Linked DNA regions of Kluyveromyces lactis. The protein of the gene in region 2 interacts with the protein of the main gene of each other region in a pairwise test. Links are inferred from orthologs where the notes say so. Each region holds a gene or a part of one and is shown on either strand. Other genes may lie near its edges.

What was found.
Region 1: the proteins of RTG2 (region 2) and MKS1 interact in binary tests that used the Saccharomyces cerevisiae proteins (3 or more experiments, as listed by UniProt). The link is inferred for Kluyveromyces lactis from reciprocal best matches to the Saccharomyces cerevisiae genes RTG2 and MKS1.

The regions. Positions count from the first base shown.
Region 1 is NC_006041.1:700,126-708,256, reverse strand, and holds MKS1 (Mks1p), read left to right. Parts: upstream 1-3,776; coding exon 3,777-5,771; downstream 5,772-8,131. Other genes in the region: OM45 (Om45p), read left to right, coding at 723-2,408; snoRNA-binding rRNA-processing protein IMP4, read left to right, coding at 6,213-7,064; KLLA0_E07811g (uncharacterized protein), read right to left, coding at 7,631-8,131. UniProt on the Saccharomyces cerevisiae protein: Negative regulator of Ras-cAMP pathway. Involved in transcriptional regulation of galactose-inducible genes.
Region 2 is NC_006040.1:982,687-990,549, forward strand, and holds RTG2 (Rtg2p), read left to right. Parts: upstream 1-2,968; coding exon 2,969-4,732; downstream 4,733-7,863. Other genes in the region: HFM1 (DNA helicase), read left to right, coding at 1-2,617; PRE4 (proteasome core particle subunit beta 7), read left to right, coding at 5,158-5,955; 3',5'-cyclic-nucleotide phosphodiesterase PDE1, read left to right, coding at 6,566-7,672. UniProt on the Saccharomyces cerevisiae protein: Required for a novel path of interorganelle communication between mitochondria, peroxisomes and the nucleus, thereby maintaining a functional metabolic interaction between the tricarboxylic acid and glyoxylate cycles.

The DNA.
Region 1 (8,131 bases), on a different chromosome or scaffold from region 2:
TAAAGGGACATACAGGCTTTTCTTAAGACAAAGACCAACCTCATTTTGCGTAATTGAGTGTAGTGGTTTAAAGCTGCCAGTTGGAAAAAGGACAGTGCAAAACAGTGGAAATCAATGAGGAAGGGGTTCTTAGTTTGGAGGGTGTGAGTCTTCCACAATGATCTAAGAAAGCCATAGAATATAATCTCCATTGGCGATGTTGTCGACATCTTGAGAAATGCAGACAGAGATAGTTACGTAAACCTAAGTAAAGGATCCAGAGCTTCTATTGGTGTGCTGTATCTACACGTTACCGATCCACCAAGAACAAGGGTAAAAAAAAAGTAGCTGTTTAACTTAACTCCATATTGTTGGAGTTAGTTTTCCAGTTTGCAAGAGTATAGTTGTCCGAATAGCATCGTTTTTTTTTTTTGTTTTCACAATTCTTGGTGTAGTTTATTTCTGGATTTGCTATTAGCTAAGACGGGTATCCGGCAGGGAACCCGACTTGTTTCGGCATGACTGCTGGATGGGCAAATATATGTAAATATATATAAGGGATGTATCTTGATTGAATTAAACAACGGTAAGTTTAAATATATATATATATGTCTTGGGCATACTTTTGATTCTGCTTTGCCCGATTTTAAGGGTAAAGAGCATCATCGACCTTAAGTATAGTGAAAGAATTAAGGTAAGAAGAAAAAAAAACCAAGAAGTAAAGAAACTAAGTACGTCGAAACATGTCGAACAGAGTTATTATCGGAGGTGTTGCTGTTGCAGCAGCCGGATATTTGTTGTACGAACGTCAAGTTCAGTTGAAACAACAGCAAAATGGGGCTGTTCCCGTGTCTCCAGTTGTTCACGACCAAAGTACATTTGAAAGGAAAGGTGCCAAGACTGGTGCGAAATTGGACGATTTAACCACTGATGTGAAGGACAAAATGTCACAATACAAGAATGAGGCCGATTACAAGTTCCAAGACATTGCCTCGCAGGTTGAGGGCAAGAAAGCTGGCATCGCTGATTGGACCGTGGAAAAATTAGATCAAGCAAAGAACACGATTGAAGATTCACGTGACAAGTACAGAGACAATAAGCACACTCTAAGAGAGAACGTTCAGGAATATGAAAACAAGGACAAGCCAAACGCTGTCGTTCAAGTCTACAAGGACACGAAGGGTGCTATTTCCACTGATCTCGGTAACATCAAGGAAGGTTTCATCGATGACCTGAAAAGTGTGAAGTCCGCAATCGTTGGTACTGGCAACCAAGTGCAAGACACAGTTCACCAGAATGTGAACGAAATAGCTGACAGAAGCTCGCAGAAGATCGACGATACCAAAGAATCCGTATCCAAGGCTGCTGCTAGCAGTAAGCAAACCGTGAACGAAGCTGCTCAGAATGCGAAGGACACGTCAGTCAGTATTTTGAACTGGGGCTACAACAAGGCTGAGAAGGCTCGTGCTCAAGCTATCAACAATTACGATAATGCAAGCAAAAAATACCAAGAGTTGGAAGAAAGGTTCAACGAGTCAAAGAAGGGCCTTTTCGGTAAAGGTGACCCAGAATTGCAAAGGCAAGTTGATCAGGCTAAGGCGTACGTGGAAGATGCCAAGAGAAGAGTGGATGAAGCCACTAGGGAATTCTCTGAGAAGACCACCAATGACTTCAACAAGCTGGCCAACCAAGTACACGACAACGAAGAAGAGCTGAGACGTAAAGGGTTCTTGAGTTGGTTAAGAGGTAAGGCCGACGCGGAGGTTGTTGATCCAGACTCTATTGCCAGCCATAGTGTTTCTGGATGGGGTGAAACTGCCGAACTCTTAGCAAAGGAAGAGATGGAGGAGAAGGTGAGGAACAGACAAATAGGACCAAGTGAAGCTCAAAGAAGATTGGATCGTTTCAAGAAAATCAAGGAAGACGGTTGGTTCACCTACAAGGGTAAGGACGAAGAGTTCCTGGCTCAAAAGGCTGCTAAGGCCTTGGAAGGTTGGGGTGAAACCGCTTCCACCATGGCCCAAGAAGAATACGAAGACTTGGTAAGATGGAGAGAAGCCGGTAAGAAGAGATACCAAGCTTCCGCTTCTACCGCTCGTGATGACGCCCAAAGGGCTGCAGACGCTGCCAAGAAGTCATTGGAAGATGCCCGTGCTGAATTGAACAAGCACACAAAGCACTGGTGGCAATTCGGTGCTGAAAAGAATGAGGAACTACAAAAAGCTGCCAAGGCCAAATACGAAGATGCTGAAAAGAATTACCAATCTGCGGTTAATACCGTAAACGACTGGGCTGACAAGGCTACTGGTAAGTTCTGGAGTAGTACAGACGACGCCTTGCATACTGCCAAGCAAGCTGCTGCCGGTGTTCACGAATCCACTCAAAAGGGACTAGATAAGGCACAAAACTACGTACAAGAGAAGAAATAATTCATGATTGATTGATTTCCTTTCCCTTATCTCCTCACCTGCCCCCTCCCTCACATTCTAAAACATCGTATTAATGATTTTGATTTTGATTTTTGTCTCTATCTAACTAACGTATCTAAAACTATATTATTATGTATCAACCTAAAATACCAAGTGTAAACCGTATTCCTATTGCATGTTGAAGTATGTGTGCATGCATGAAGTATTCAGTAAGACTATACTATTAACTCCAAAAAAAAAATAGCCAGAGACCGAACTTTCAATCACGTGATTCTAGTGCCGCACTCCCCAAACTCGGGTCTCCAAACACTTAACTGCATCCATCCCTGCCCCACTGTTCTCCCCTCCCCCTGTCCCCTCATCCGTGTAAAAGATGGAGATAGCATACACTGATCTCGCCTTCCGTCTCTCAGCTCGCTTCTCCCAAGGCAACAGGCCCCCATAATGTCCCCGACTTTCGTGATCCAGGATTACAGGAAGGAAAAACATAAAATACGTGACCTGATTTGATATCACAACGGTAAACCGAAGAATAAGACTTTTTTTTTTTTGAAATTTTCCCATTGAAGATGACTGACCGACTGTTGCCTGAATGACTGCTTGAATGACTGCTGCTATTTTGTGTTTCGTTGCTTGATATGCCAGACAGAGGCTTACCATGGCATAGATGATAAAGATATATCGGTAAATGATCGTCTCATTCCATCCTTCCTTTGTTGCTCCCTTGATTTTCTGCTCGATGCAGCTGACCTTGGTACTATATTAAGGAACCACCGACGCTATATATAACTAAAACGCTATATGTTCCTTCCTTGTTTGTTTATTTACTTCTTCTACGTATGATTTGTTCCCTTTTTTTTTTGGATTAGAACTATCTACTTTACATAGTTCTTCCTCTCACACGCAGGTATTGTTATTCAACTTGAGATTCAACTGCTACTACTATTGCTACTGCTTCCTACATCACCTGGCTGCTATATTGAAAAGATTAGCACGCTTTTTTCAACTTGGTTTCATTCCAGGTTTTTTTTTCTTTTTCATCGATCATAAGCAGAAACAGAAATACAGTGCTGATAGAAAAAAGGTCAGGTCAGGCATTATTTCCCATATTAAAGGTGTGCTTTAACTTGTTGAACTTGATTTATAACTGTTGTTATTGAACAGAGGAAAGAGACCAAAGACCAGCCACGAGTAATCAATCTGAACAGTAAAAGACGAAGAATCTGTTATCGCTTGGCATCATAGGACTTCAGAGTTCGCACGAATTTTTTTTTTTATTATTTTGTTTTTACTTCAACACGAAGCACCGTCTTTCCTCCGGTGGTCTTACCTCTTTTCTATTCACCTTATCATACTGTTTAGATTAATATGGATCAGAGGATTTCAATACGCAGGCGAGAAATGGATCCCAAGATGCTTAACTGTACCGATAAAAATCGGTTCCAGATGCTACACGCGAGTAGTGATGTAGAACATGAACAAAATCATACGTTTTTGAAAGTGAGTCCCGCTCTTTTCACGCAGGATAAACTGCCGTTGTTCGATTCTTTAGACTTATACACTTCGTTGATCAAATGTAGCAAATTCATGGAGCAAGGAGAACGGCTGCATAACCTTAGTTGGAGGATCATTAATAAGTCGTTGTTGAAAGATCAGAATATCAACAAGTCAAAGAGACGGGATGGTGTACGGAACCTATATCACGTTATTAATCCTATAAAGCAAACGCACTTATTCCCACAACTGCAGCAACAGCTGCAGAAACCAAAAGCTGTGACACCGGCGTCACCAAAGACTCCAACTACAATGGTAACTGCAGCTTCCACCTCGGCGACATCGTCCGGTTCATCATCTGCGCTGTTGACACCAATCTCTAGTGGGGCCTCGATACCGAAATCGACTGCTAATACGCATATTACGTCAACAAGACCTCATATCTCAATTTCGAAGAAACTGATATCACCTGTGTGTTCTTCACCTGAACCTCTACCGACGAAAATGGAGGTTCCATCAAGGTCCCAGGCAAACACCCCTGATCTACGGAAAGATTTGGCAAAGAAGAAATTCGCTATTTCTCCTGAATTGGTCAATGTACCGAAGAACCATCAACAACAATTACCTTTACCACCATCATCATCAGAACCCCCGGTGTCAAATCATGTGCCTTTATCGGAAACAAAGTCAAATGCTCACTCACAGACTTCTTTGTTCAGTAGAAACCCATCTAGTAAATCATTATTTGCGAAAAATCAACCTACTCCATTCACCCCGGCCAATGGATCTACTAATTCATCTGCCAATGGATCTGCTGAAAACCTCAAATCAAATGAGATGAATCATTCCTCGAGAACGTCATCAGTTGCCAACAATATCGCTCATACATCTAGTAATGGCACCAAATCTGGAACGTCTGGTACTATAAGTAATGCAGCGCATGTGCATGCCGGACAAGATCACAAGAATATGTTCTTTAGTAGTGAGGACGAAGAATCTGATTGGGACTCTCTTTCAGATGATAGTGAGATATACGATGAAGAAGAAGATAATGATCAATATTATGAAAACCAATGGGATAAGCTGATGTTCTCAAAGACACACCAAAACAATAATGTTCATCAAGTGCCTTCAAAAGAATCCGGAGAGAAGAAAAGTTTGTTGTCTGGTCTATTCATGCAAGAGAAACAAACCAAGTCACAAGTTGATCCAGAGGATAAAGCATACACTACAACCAATGAGGATTTGCTCAAAAGACCACTATATGTTTCTGAAGCAACATCTTCAGCAAAGGCTGTTGAGAAACCTGTCTTAAAGTCTTTGGATAAACAATCGGAAAAGCCTCTGAGAAAGAAGACCGATCAAAATTGCATATTACATCAGAATCCAACAGGAATTCAAATACCGCCTCAACCTGTTGCTCCAGAAACTACGGAAATAGTTGCTGTGGGCTCTGTGACACCATCAAGTTCGTGGCAGAACAAACCTCTTTTGGATCATCAAAAGCCAATTCCTGTCGCATTTGAGCGTTCCAGAAGACTCGGCTCTTTTAGTAGTATCGTAAGCGATACTACTAGAGAACGGTATTATCATGAATCGAATGCACCTCCGGCTGCTCAGACCATTTTACCTACTGCTCTTTCTACCCATATGTTTTTGCCTAATAACGTCCACCAACAAAGGATGGCATTACGTGGAGGAAGTCTTCAATCAGATTTTGATACTGAAATAGCCAAAAAGGTAGCATCGAGACGTGAATCGATGGATATCCCTTCCAAAAACAGAAACAATTTCTTCCTCAAGACTAGAATGGAAATCTCAGAAGAAGAAAGCTTCGCTAGAGCATATGGCAGATGTGTCAAGAAGTGAAGGTAATTTCCTTCATTTACTAAACATCATCCACGACAAATATTAATTACCTTTGATAGACTGTATAAAACCTCGTTTAATGACAACCAAGTAATTCTTTAATATGTCACCAATTACAGTGTCTGTTGTATGTAACCGATGTTACGATAATGCGTTTCTTAGCGTATTTGGCTTTATGGATTTGTATAAAGGTTTTGTCACGTGACCATTTGGTATTATTCTAATAATTATTTCTTTTTGAGGCTGAAATTTTTACATGAACGATGCGATGAGATGAGACGTTAGAGCTGAAGAACAACTTAGCTGGTTGGACATTTTTGTTTACGACGGACTAGTATCGTGTATATACGTACTGTAGTCACTATAAACAGGCATTATTATAGTATATTATCAGCTATTCGCTTTTTTGGTACTATACAAGCAACACATTATTGAAGTACGATGTTAAGAAGGCAAGCTCGTGAAAGAAGAGAATACTTGTACCGTAAAGCACAAGAGCTACAAGAATCTCAACTACAACAAAAGCGCCAAATCATAAAGCAAGCGTTAGCACAGGGGAAACCACTACCAAAGGAAATTGCTGAAGATGAGCAACTACAGAAAGATTTTCAATACGATGAAAGTGCTCAGGAACAGATAGATGATGAGTACAGCGCAACAAGCGGTATCGCAGAACCTAAGATTATTGTGACAACATCTAGAGACCCTAGTACTAGGTTATCACAGTTTGCAAAAGAAATCAAATTACTGTTCCCAACAGCGGTAAGATTAAACAGAGGTAATTACATTATGCCGAATCTTGTCGATGCCTGTCAAACATCAGGAACGTCAGATTTGGTTGTTCTTCATGAACATAGAGGTGTTCCTACATCACTAACGGTATCACATTTCCCACATGGTCCAACAGCATTTTTCACATTACACAACGTCGTTTTAAGACATGACATTTTAAATTCGGGGAATCAAAGTGAAGTAAATCCACATCTAATCTTCGATAATTTCACAACACCATTGGGTAAGAGAGTAGAGACGATTTTAAAGCACCTATTCCCACCTGGTCCAAAGAAAGATGCAGCAAGGGTGATAACGTTTGCAAACAGAGGAGATTTTATCAGCGTTAGGCAACATGTTTATGTGAAAACCAGAGAAGGTGTGGAGTTAGCAGAAGTGGGACCTAGGTTCGAGATGAGATTGTTCGAATTAAAATTAGGAACATTAGAAAATAAAGATGCTGACGTAGAATGGCAACTAAGAAGATTTGTTAGAACGGCTAGTAGAAAGGACTATTTATAATTATAGTAAGCATAATAAGACAATTCCATCATAATGTCCATAAAATCAAGCAAAGTATAACATTTTTGCTAGTGGAAAGAATTCTATCAAACGTATTTCGTTTTAACGACGGAAAGGGTATGTTGTTTGAGGAGATACAGGAAAATTAAACACAATTACATGATATTAGCAAACCCTGGAGCATGAAGCAACTGCGTTTCAGTCACTGTATTTATAGATAGGATAAAAAGAATCAGAAAGAGAAAAAGAAAACACCCGTAAGTAAATTAACATAAAAGAATAACAACCTTCTCATTTCGATATAAATAAAAATAGAATGTTAATTCAAAATAGAGTTATAACGATTGACTGTACCGAGGAGACGGTAAGGGAAAGAGTTGCTGAACGAGAGAAAAAATAAGGGAAGGGGAAGAAGATGTATCAAAGAAGAGACGGAAAAAATAAATGACCCGTTCTTGGCCAGAAAATTCAAGTGATTGCTTGAAAACAGATAAACGTAGCAATTTCCTTCTATTTAAAAGCGCGCTGAATGGCTCATGGATCATCCTTATTCTTTCTTTTTAATGTTAGATTTCGTTAGTCAACTTTTTCTTCACCACTTCGCTTGCCGTATTGGATTGAAGTTGCTCATCATAAAAAACATCATCCAGTATATGGGTATTCGCGCTTGACACGGAGCTTCTACTGAAGTTATTCGCGTACGGTGAAACTCCACTAGCATTGGAGTACGCTCTTGTCTTGTACGCTGGAGGAGAGAATTTTTTGTTAAAACCAGATCCCTGAGTAGAAGTACGTGATAAACGAAGTCCTTGAGGATTTACTGGTGGGGTGTTCAGTGTACCTGCACTAGATACATCATGATCTAAACCACGATGCTGTGTATTTCTGTTGTTGTTGTTGTTGTTGTTGTTGTTGTTGTTGTTGTTGTTGTTGTTGTTGTTGTTGCTGTTGCTGCTGTTGCTGTTACTGCGATGTTGGTCCGGATCTTCATCATCGGAACATTCACTTCCGCTGGACTCTATTTGAAAGTTACTCTTGCGCAACAACGCACTATTTGGGTTATGTGG
Region 2 (7,863 bases):
GAATTCAATGTGTCAAAATTTGAGAATAGTTGCTGTAAGTGCAACCATTCCTAATATACATGATATTGCTGACTGGTTGAAAACTGGAGGACCTACTGGCGTTCCAGCAAAAGTACTAGCCTTTGATGACAGTTACCGACAGGTGGTGTTAAGACATCACGTTTATTCATTCTACAATAAATTCAATAATGAATTCCAAATGGACGCTTTGTTTAATACAAGATTGGTCGAACTCATTAACAAGCACAGCAAAGGAAAACCTGTTCTAATTTTTTGCCCCACCAGACAATCGACCATTGTAACAGCAAGACACATCGCCCTACATGACCACGAAATGAATAACACCAGTAGTAAACGTTCAAATATTAAACTACAGGACAAACAATTAAGCGAGATTGCACAGAAGGGAATTGCTTTCCACCATGCCGGATTGTCAATGACGGATAGGAGCGTGATTGAAGACAAATTCACCAACGGTGACATAAAAGTGTTGTGTTCGACTTCAACTTTGGCTGTCGGAGTCAATTTACCAGCTTATTTGGTTATTATTAAAGGTACAAGGATGTGGTCCATCAACGGTTCCCAAGAATATTCAACTCTAGACATTTTACAGATGATCGGAAGAGCAGGAAGACCACAGTTTGAAACAGAAGGGACCGCATTGATCTTAACGGACGAAGGATCCCAAGAAAAATACGAGAATCTTTTGAAGGGAACCTCCACCTTAGAGAGTTGTTTGCATTTGAATCTAGCCGAAAACATTGTTGCTGAAATTGCACTAAATTCTATTACATCGATAAAATCTGCGATGAATTGGTTGAAAAACACTTTCTTTTATAGACGATATCTTAAGAATCCAGCTCATTATAGTGTTATTAGAAGCAGTATACTGACTTCGGACGCTGAATGCCAGTTAACTCATTTTTGTGAACGAACACTAAAGGATCTTCTTTCTTATAAAATAATCCTTGACAACAACGGAAATTTGTGTGCTTCTGGATATGGACAGGCAATGACTAGGCACTATATCCTTGGAGATACGGTCAAAAACATCATAAGATCAAACACATCACTAAAGTCGCTTGAGGTACTTAAAATATTGGCCAATGCTAGCGAATTTGATAGTATTCGTTTGAAGCATAATGAGAAGAAATTGTATCGAGAAATCAATGCAAATCCTCTTTTGCGGTACCCATTTACAGATAAGAAGAAACAGCTAATGTCAATAACTTCTAAAGAACAGAAAATTTCGTTATTAATCCAGTACGAATTAAGCGGTTTAGAGTATCCTTCTTACAAAGATGCACAAAAACATCACCAAACATTAGTTCAGGATAAGATGCTTGTTTTCAGACATGCTCCTCGAGTACTCAAATGTATGATTGATTGCTTTATTGAGAAATATGATGGAGATTCATTGAAAAGTACTTTATTTCTTTTGCGTAGTGTCGCCGGTAAAGGTTGGGAGGATACTCCGATGATCTTAAGACAACTAAACACCATTGGTTTGGTATCACTACGGAAATTAGTGAGTCACGGAGTATGTACATTTGCAGATATGGAAAAACTCACAGAACAACAGATCGAATATTATCTCAGTTTGCGACCAGGCAACGGATATAAAATCAAAAGTGACTTACAAATGATTCCTTTATTATCGCTCGAATACAGTGTAGAAGAAAAGACGGTAACTCAAAACGCAATCCATGTTTCATTTAAAGTAGAAGTACAAGCCAATTTTAAATCTGCATCTTGGCATGGTCAACAACTTTGTATGCTGATCATGTTGAAGACTGATACAGGCATATTAATAGATTTTCGGCGAACGTTCTTGAGTAAGTTAAAGACACCCAAAGCCTTCAGAATAACCATCCAGGTAGACAGAAACACGAATTTTATCGAGTTTGTCTATTCATGTGAGCAAATAGGCGGATCAAATCGTGAAATCAGGTACTATTTGAGTAATGGGTGCTATGACGATATGCCAAAATATTCGAATGTACTTGAACAGATTGATTCAAACCAAACTGGCTCTTTCCAAACTTCAATAAATTACAGTGACGCCAGGGAAACTATAAACAATGAAACAGATGATGATGAAGAGCTATTAAATTTGTTAGCGGAGAAAAATAATTCAAATGCTAACAATGAACGACAAGAAGACTGCGACAGATCTCTATTGGATAATGGAAACATGAAATGTCACCATACTTGCAAGGACAAGTCAACTTGCCGCCATCTTTGTTGCCGGGAAGGAATTCCTAGAAACACCAGGCGTAAGGCATCGAAACAGAGCATGATAAAGCATACTGAGAGTGTGCAGCAAGAAGAACCATCATCATCTAAGGATGCAAGAAACGATTTGCAGAAAGGATTATCTTCCTCCAAGAGTATGCTCCCTAACCTTGACGAATGTCAGCAAATGGAGCCAGAGCCGGTTCTGGAAAATCCAATAAATTCCCTTCCCAAGGTGTCTTCAGCGCAGCAGACACAAAAGATCACATATATAATACCCTCAAGTTCCCCTAAACAGAGTAGCCCTTTCGATACATCGTTGTCTGACACTCAAGATGCAGATTTGCTAAACTTCTTAGGATCCGACATTGAATTGGGCTAAGTCGGTGGAATCTTTAGCTATTATAATAATTTTCCAGCAGATTGGCATTTCTTTAATCAAAATACCGACAACCTATTTGTAGATGAGTTAGTGCAGCAGCAGCAGTCGTCATACTCGATTTGACCAAGAAAGATAAACCTTACCACACCTCACAAAATCACGTGCATCGTTTTTGATGACTATTTTCTGTTTTCTTTAAAATATTGAAGTTCGCAATCCTAGACAAGCTAGACAATAACCACCATGGGACGACTTAAGAAGGTATAGAAGAATTATCTAGGTTTCTAGCTGAGTAACAAGTGAAGGGAGGGGCTAACAGGCTTCATTGAGTATTTATAGCATATTTGAGGTATGTCAATGATATCTGATAGCGACAATGAAACTGAAGTTGTTTCACGCAATCTATGTGGTGTTGTGGACATAGGTTCCAATGGGATAAGGTTCAGTATTTCATCTAAAGCATCACATCATGCTAGGATAATGCCATGCGTTTTCAAAGATAGAGTAGGTATTTCTTTGTATGAAGTGCAATATGCTGCGAATTCGCTTATCAAGGCCCCTATTCCTACTGCGGTTATCCACGAAGTTTGTTCTGCTATGAAGAGATTTAAATTAATTTGTGAAGACTTTGGTGTTCCAGAAACAGGAGTCAGAGTAGTAGCTACAGAAGCTACTAGGGAAGCATTGAATTCTCAAGAGTTTATAGATGCTATTTATGACTCAACAGGTTGGGATGTGGAAATTTTGACCAAAGAAGAAGAAGGCAGGATTGGTGCTTACGGTGTCATATCGTCGTTCAATACTGTATCTGGGTTATACATAGACTTAGGAGGTGGTAGTACTCAACTATCTTGGATCAAATGTGTTAATGGGGAAATTACTCAATCATCTACCCCGGTTTCATTACCATTTGGGGCCGGTGCTCTGACAAGAAGAATGAAATTCGAAAGCAAGCACGTCTTACTTCAGGAAATTGTGGATGCTTACAAGTCTGCAGTCACAAAGATTGGCATCCCCAAGGAGATGTACGATGAAGCACAGTTAAACGGCGGGTTCGATTTATATACATGCGGTGGTGGCTTGCGAGGGATGGGTCATCTTCTATTATCGCAGATCAAAGAATATCCTATTCAAACAATTATAAATGGATTTTCATGCAGTTTTAGCGAGTTCTCAAACATGTGTGACTACTTGTTTTTGAAGGAGAGAGTTCCAGGTGAATCGGCAAGTAAGATCTTTAAAGTCTCTGATAGAAGAGCCAAACAATTACCAGCTGTAGGCCTACTCATGGCAGCAGCTTCCGAGTCATTGCCCAAGATCAAAAACGTTCATTTCAGTGAAGGTGGTGTCAGAGAAGGTACTTTATACTCGATTCTTCCAAGGGAGATTAGAGCACAGGATCCACTTGTCATTGCAACCAGACCCTATGCTCCTTTGCTTGTTCACAAATATTTGGAACTATTAAGGACTGCTATACCTACTAAAGAGATTCCAAAGATAGTATACGAAAGAATAGCTCCTGCTCTTTGTAACCTCGCTTTCGTACACGCTTCATATCCAAAGGAACTACAACCGACCGCAGCACTACGTGTAGGTACATCTGGTATCATTGCTGGGTGTCATGGGCTATCTCACAGATCAAGAGCTTTGGTGGGAATAGCATTGTGCAATAGATGGGGTGGAGACATACCAGAACCTGAAGAAGTGTACAAAAAGCTATTGGAAGACATTGCACTAAGAGATGGTGACAAACTAGAACGTGAAAGGACAATATGGTGGACAAAATACATTGGCACTATCATGTATGTCATTTGTGGTGTTCACCCTGGTGGTAACATTGGAGATGGTGTCTTCCATTTCAGCACTTCGGAGAAAGATGAATCGGCTATTGATTTACAGATGCTATCTATAGATGAGAACCTTTCAGGAAACGGCAAGCCAACTCCAACAGGGAACCCGAACAAGAGGATATTCGAAGTTGTTGTCAAGATTAACAGAAACGATCTAAAGACTATTGCTTCTGTGAGGCAAAGAATCATCACGTTGCAAAAGAAAATAAGGAAATTATCCCGTGGTTCCAGCGACAAGGTTAAGATCAATGTAGAATTCTATTGAACACTCAATTGCGATCTCAGTATGTATAGGCTTTATATAGAATGCTCTTTATTTTACTTCCCTCAGCCTCCCTTCCTGTTGAAGATTTAATATCTAATTTACCCTGTTTGTAACAAGCCTCAGACCCTAAAATGTGATATAAATATTCGTGAAAGCGCCATATAGGTAGTGTAGTGCGCTGCTGTGTACTACTATCCGATGGTCGTATCCTCTGTTGATCACTCTGTTTTAGCTGGAAAAATATAGCGTTACCCGCCCTTTAACATTTTACCTTATTAGAACGATTTTGCCACTATCGAATATAAGAGAGACATGCAATTCATAATTAATACATAAGGAGTTCACTTCACGACAGGTTACAATCAACACTAAAGAGTCACCAAGGGTATTTTCTGCGAATCCAATCCATTGAAACACTTTCCAACATGAATCACGATCCATTTGCCTGGGGAAGGCCATCTGACGAACACTATGGCGCGTACAATCATGCCATTGCCCAAGCGTCAAATAATCCAAAGATGAATACTCAGAACCCTATTATTACCGGTACTTCTGTCATCAGTATTAAGTATAATAACGGTGTTATTGTTGCAGCTGATAATCTAGGTGCTTACGGTTCGTTATTACGTTTCACAAACGAGGAGAGATTGATCAAAGTGGGTCCCAACACGGTTGTTGGTGTATCCGGTGACATTTCCGATATGCAATACATTCAACATCTATTAGACGAGATGGAAATTGAAAACAATTACGATAGCGCATATGCGGATAATGAGGAGCAATTGAAACCAAGCTTCGTTTTTGAATATCTATCATCTGTGATGTACCAACGTAGATCCAAGTTAGATCCTTTATGGAATGCGATAATTGTAGGGGGCACAGAAGATGGAAAGCCATTTTTAAGATACGTTAACCTATTAGGTGTCACATACTCTTCGCCAACGTTGGCTACAGGGTTCGGTGCCCACTTGGCATTGCCCCTTTTAAGAAAGCTAGTAGACACCGAAAAGGACGTGGAAAAAGTGAATCTAGATGTTGCTAAGAAAGCTATCCTAGAGGCAATGAAAATATTATACTACCGTGATGCCCGTAGTTCACGTAAGTTTTCATTGGCTATAATCGACAATGAACTGGGGCTCAATATCGAAAAGGACCTACAAGTAGAGAATATGTCTTGGGAATTCGCCAAAGACATCAGAGGATATGGTACCCAAAAGGTATAGGTTTCGGATTTACTTCGTCTTGTCTTCATGCTTTCACTTATCCACGCAGATAATACTTGCACCAAAATACACAATCTCATGCCAACAAAGGAAGAGCAACACATGGTGATCCTGCTCTGGTAATATATACTTTCTTTGTCAATAACGGGAAGACCTCACCTCTTCTGTGTTTTCTCTATAAATGTATACTATGCGTAAATTCTGAATTAGGGCACATATTCACACATAATACACCAAGAAAGAAACTGATCAAAACGGCGTCAATGCTGTCAACTACTGGACAGCCAGCTCAGTCATTATGTCACTAAGATATTTCGAGTGAAGGGACCTGTATATATGAAGGTTATCGTTGGAGTTACCTTTCTTTATTCTTTTACAGTTCCAATTCTTTTAGAAAACAAGTTTAATTCTATATAAACAAGTAGTAACCTAATTGATTAATGAATCATCGACAAAGGAAAGACTAGAGGACTTATAGCGCTAGCCCAGTATACCTATATTCCATACTCTCAAATACAACTGGCTTGTAGGGTAGGCATCTATACGCCAGGAAACAGATTTTTACCGATATCTTGCGATATATTTCCATTCTGGTTTCGAAAGTGAAAAGATGTCTACGTATCCTGGATGCTCATTTGAACTAACTATCTTAGGAAGCTGTGGGGGCCCCCTAAACAATCATACACAGAGTTTCTTGATGAAACGCGCAGGATCGAGTGAATCAGGATATATTTGCATTGATGCGGGGTCCGGACTAGCTGAGATCGCAGATATGATCTACGCACAGGAATACGGTAACACGTTCTTAGTCAAGAGTCTATACAAATCTAGTGCCGAAGACGTTTCACGATTTCTTGCACAAGGGGTACGGTGTACCATTGGGTTTGGTACACCAAGTGAAGTGTTCCTGAAGAAAAGCGCAGAGGCCCACAGCAGCATTATGAGGACCGCTTGTGAAATATTCTCCGAAGTTAGGGAATATTATATCACACATCCGCACCTCGATCATATGATGGGTCTAATACTCAATGCCCCATTAATTTACACCAAACTGGGATCCTATAAGAACGTTTATGGCACAGAACATACCATACAAGCGATAAAAGAACATATATTCAATGATAAGATTTGGCCCGATTTCACCACAGACAACACGATCAGATTAGAAGCACTAGAACCTTCGATTCGCAGGAATACCTATTCAATACAGGGCATTGATTGCATACCGTTTACGTTGAATCATGGTCAAACAATAGATACCAAAGAACCTGTACTGAGCACAGCGTTTCTATTCCATGAGCACCAAACTGATGGACATGTTCTGATTTGTGGTGACACTGAATCAGATCTTGTCTCCAAGACAGACTCTTTACTCAACATATGGACATATCTAGCAGAGAATGTACCCATTAATAACTTGAAGGCCATCGTACTTGAGTGTTCTAACACAGACGAAGTGGATACAAGCAAATTATACGGGCACTTGTGTCCTCAGCATATTATATGGGAATTGAAAAGGCTAATAGAGGTATACGATGTGAAGCCAGAGAATTTTAGCTTGCATGTGATTCTAACACATGTGAAGGATATCGATTCAGAAGAGGATCCCAAAATCACTGTGTTGAAACAGGTAAATAAAAGGTGCAAACAGCAAGGATTAGACAAATATAATATCAGTTTTTCCATGGCGATCCAAGGTTTTACAATGATTCTTTGATATACAGATTAGCGTGATAATTTGAAAAAAATTCATCCTTATCCCATTGCCTGGGCAGGACCAATCACATAGACAAAAGAATGGCAAGGATGTTTGGCACCAAAAGGTTATAGATGTAATAATTAATAGGTAAAAGTAGAATTGTTGTATTAATCATAATAGATAATGGTGTTTTCTAAAAAAAAAAGAAT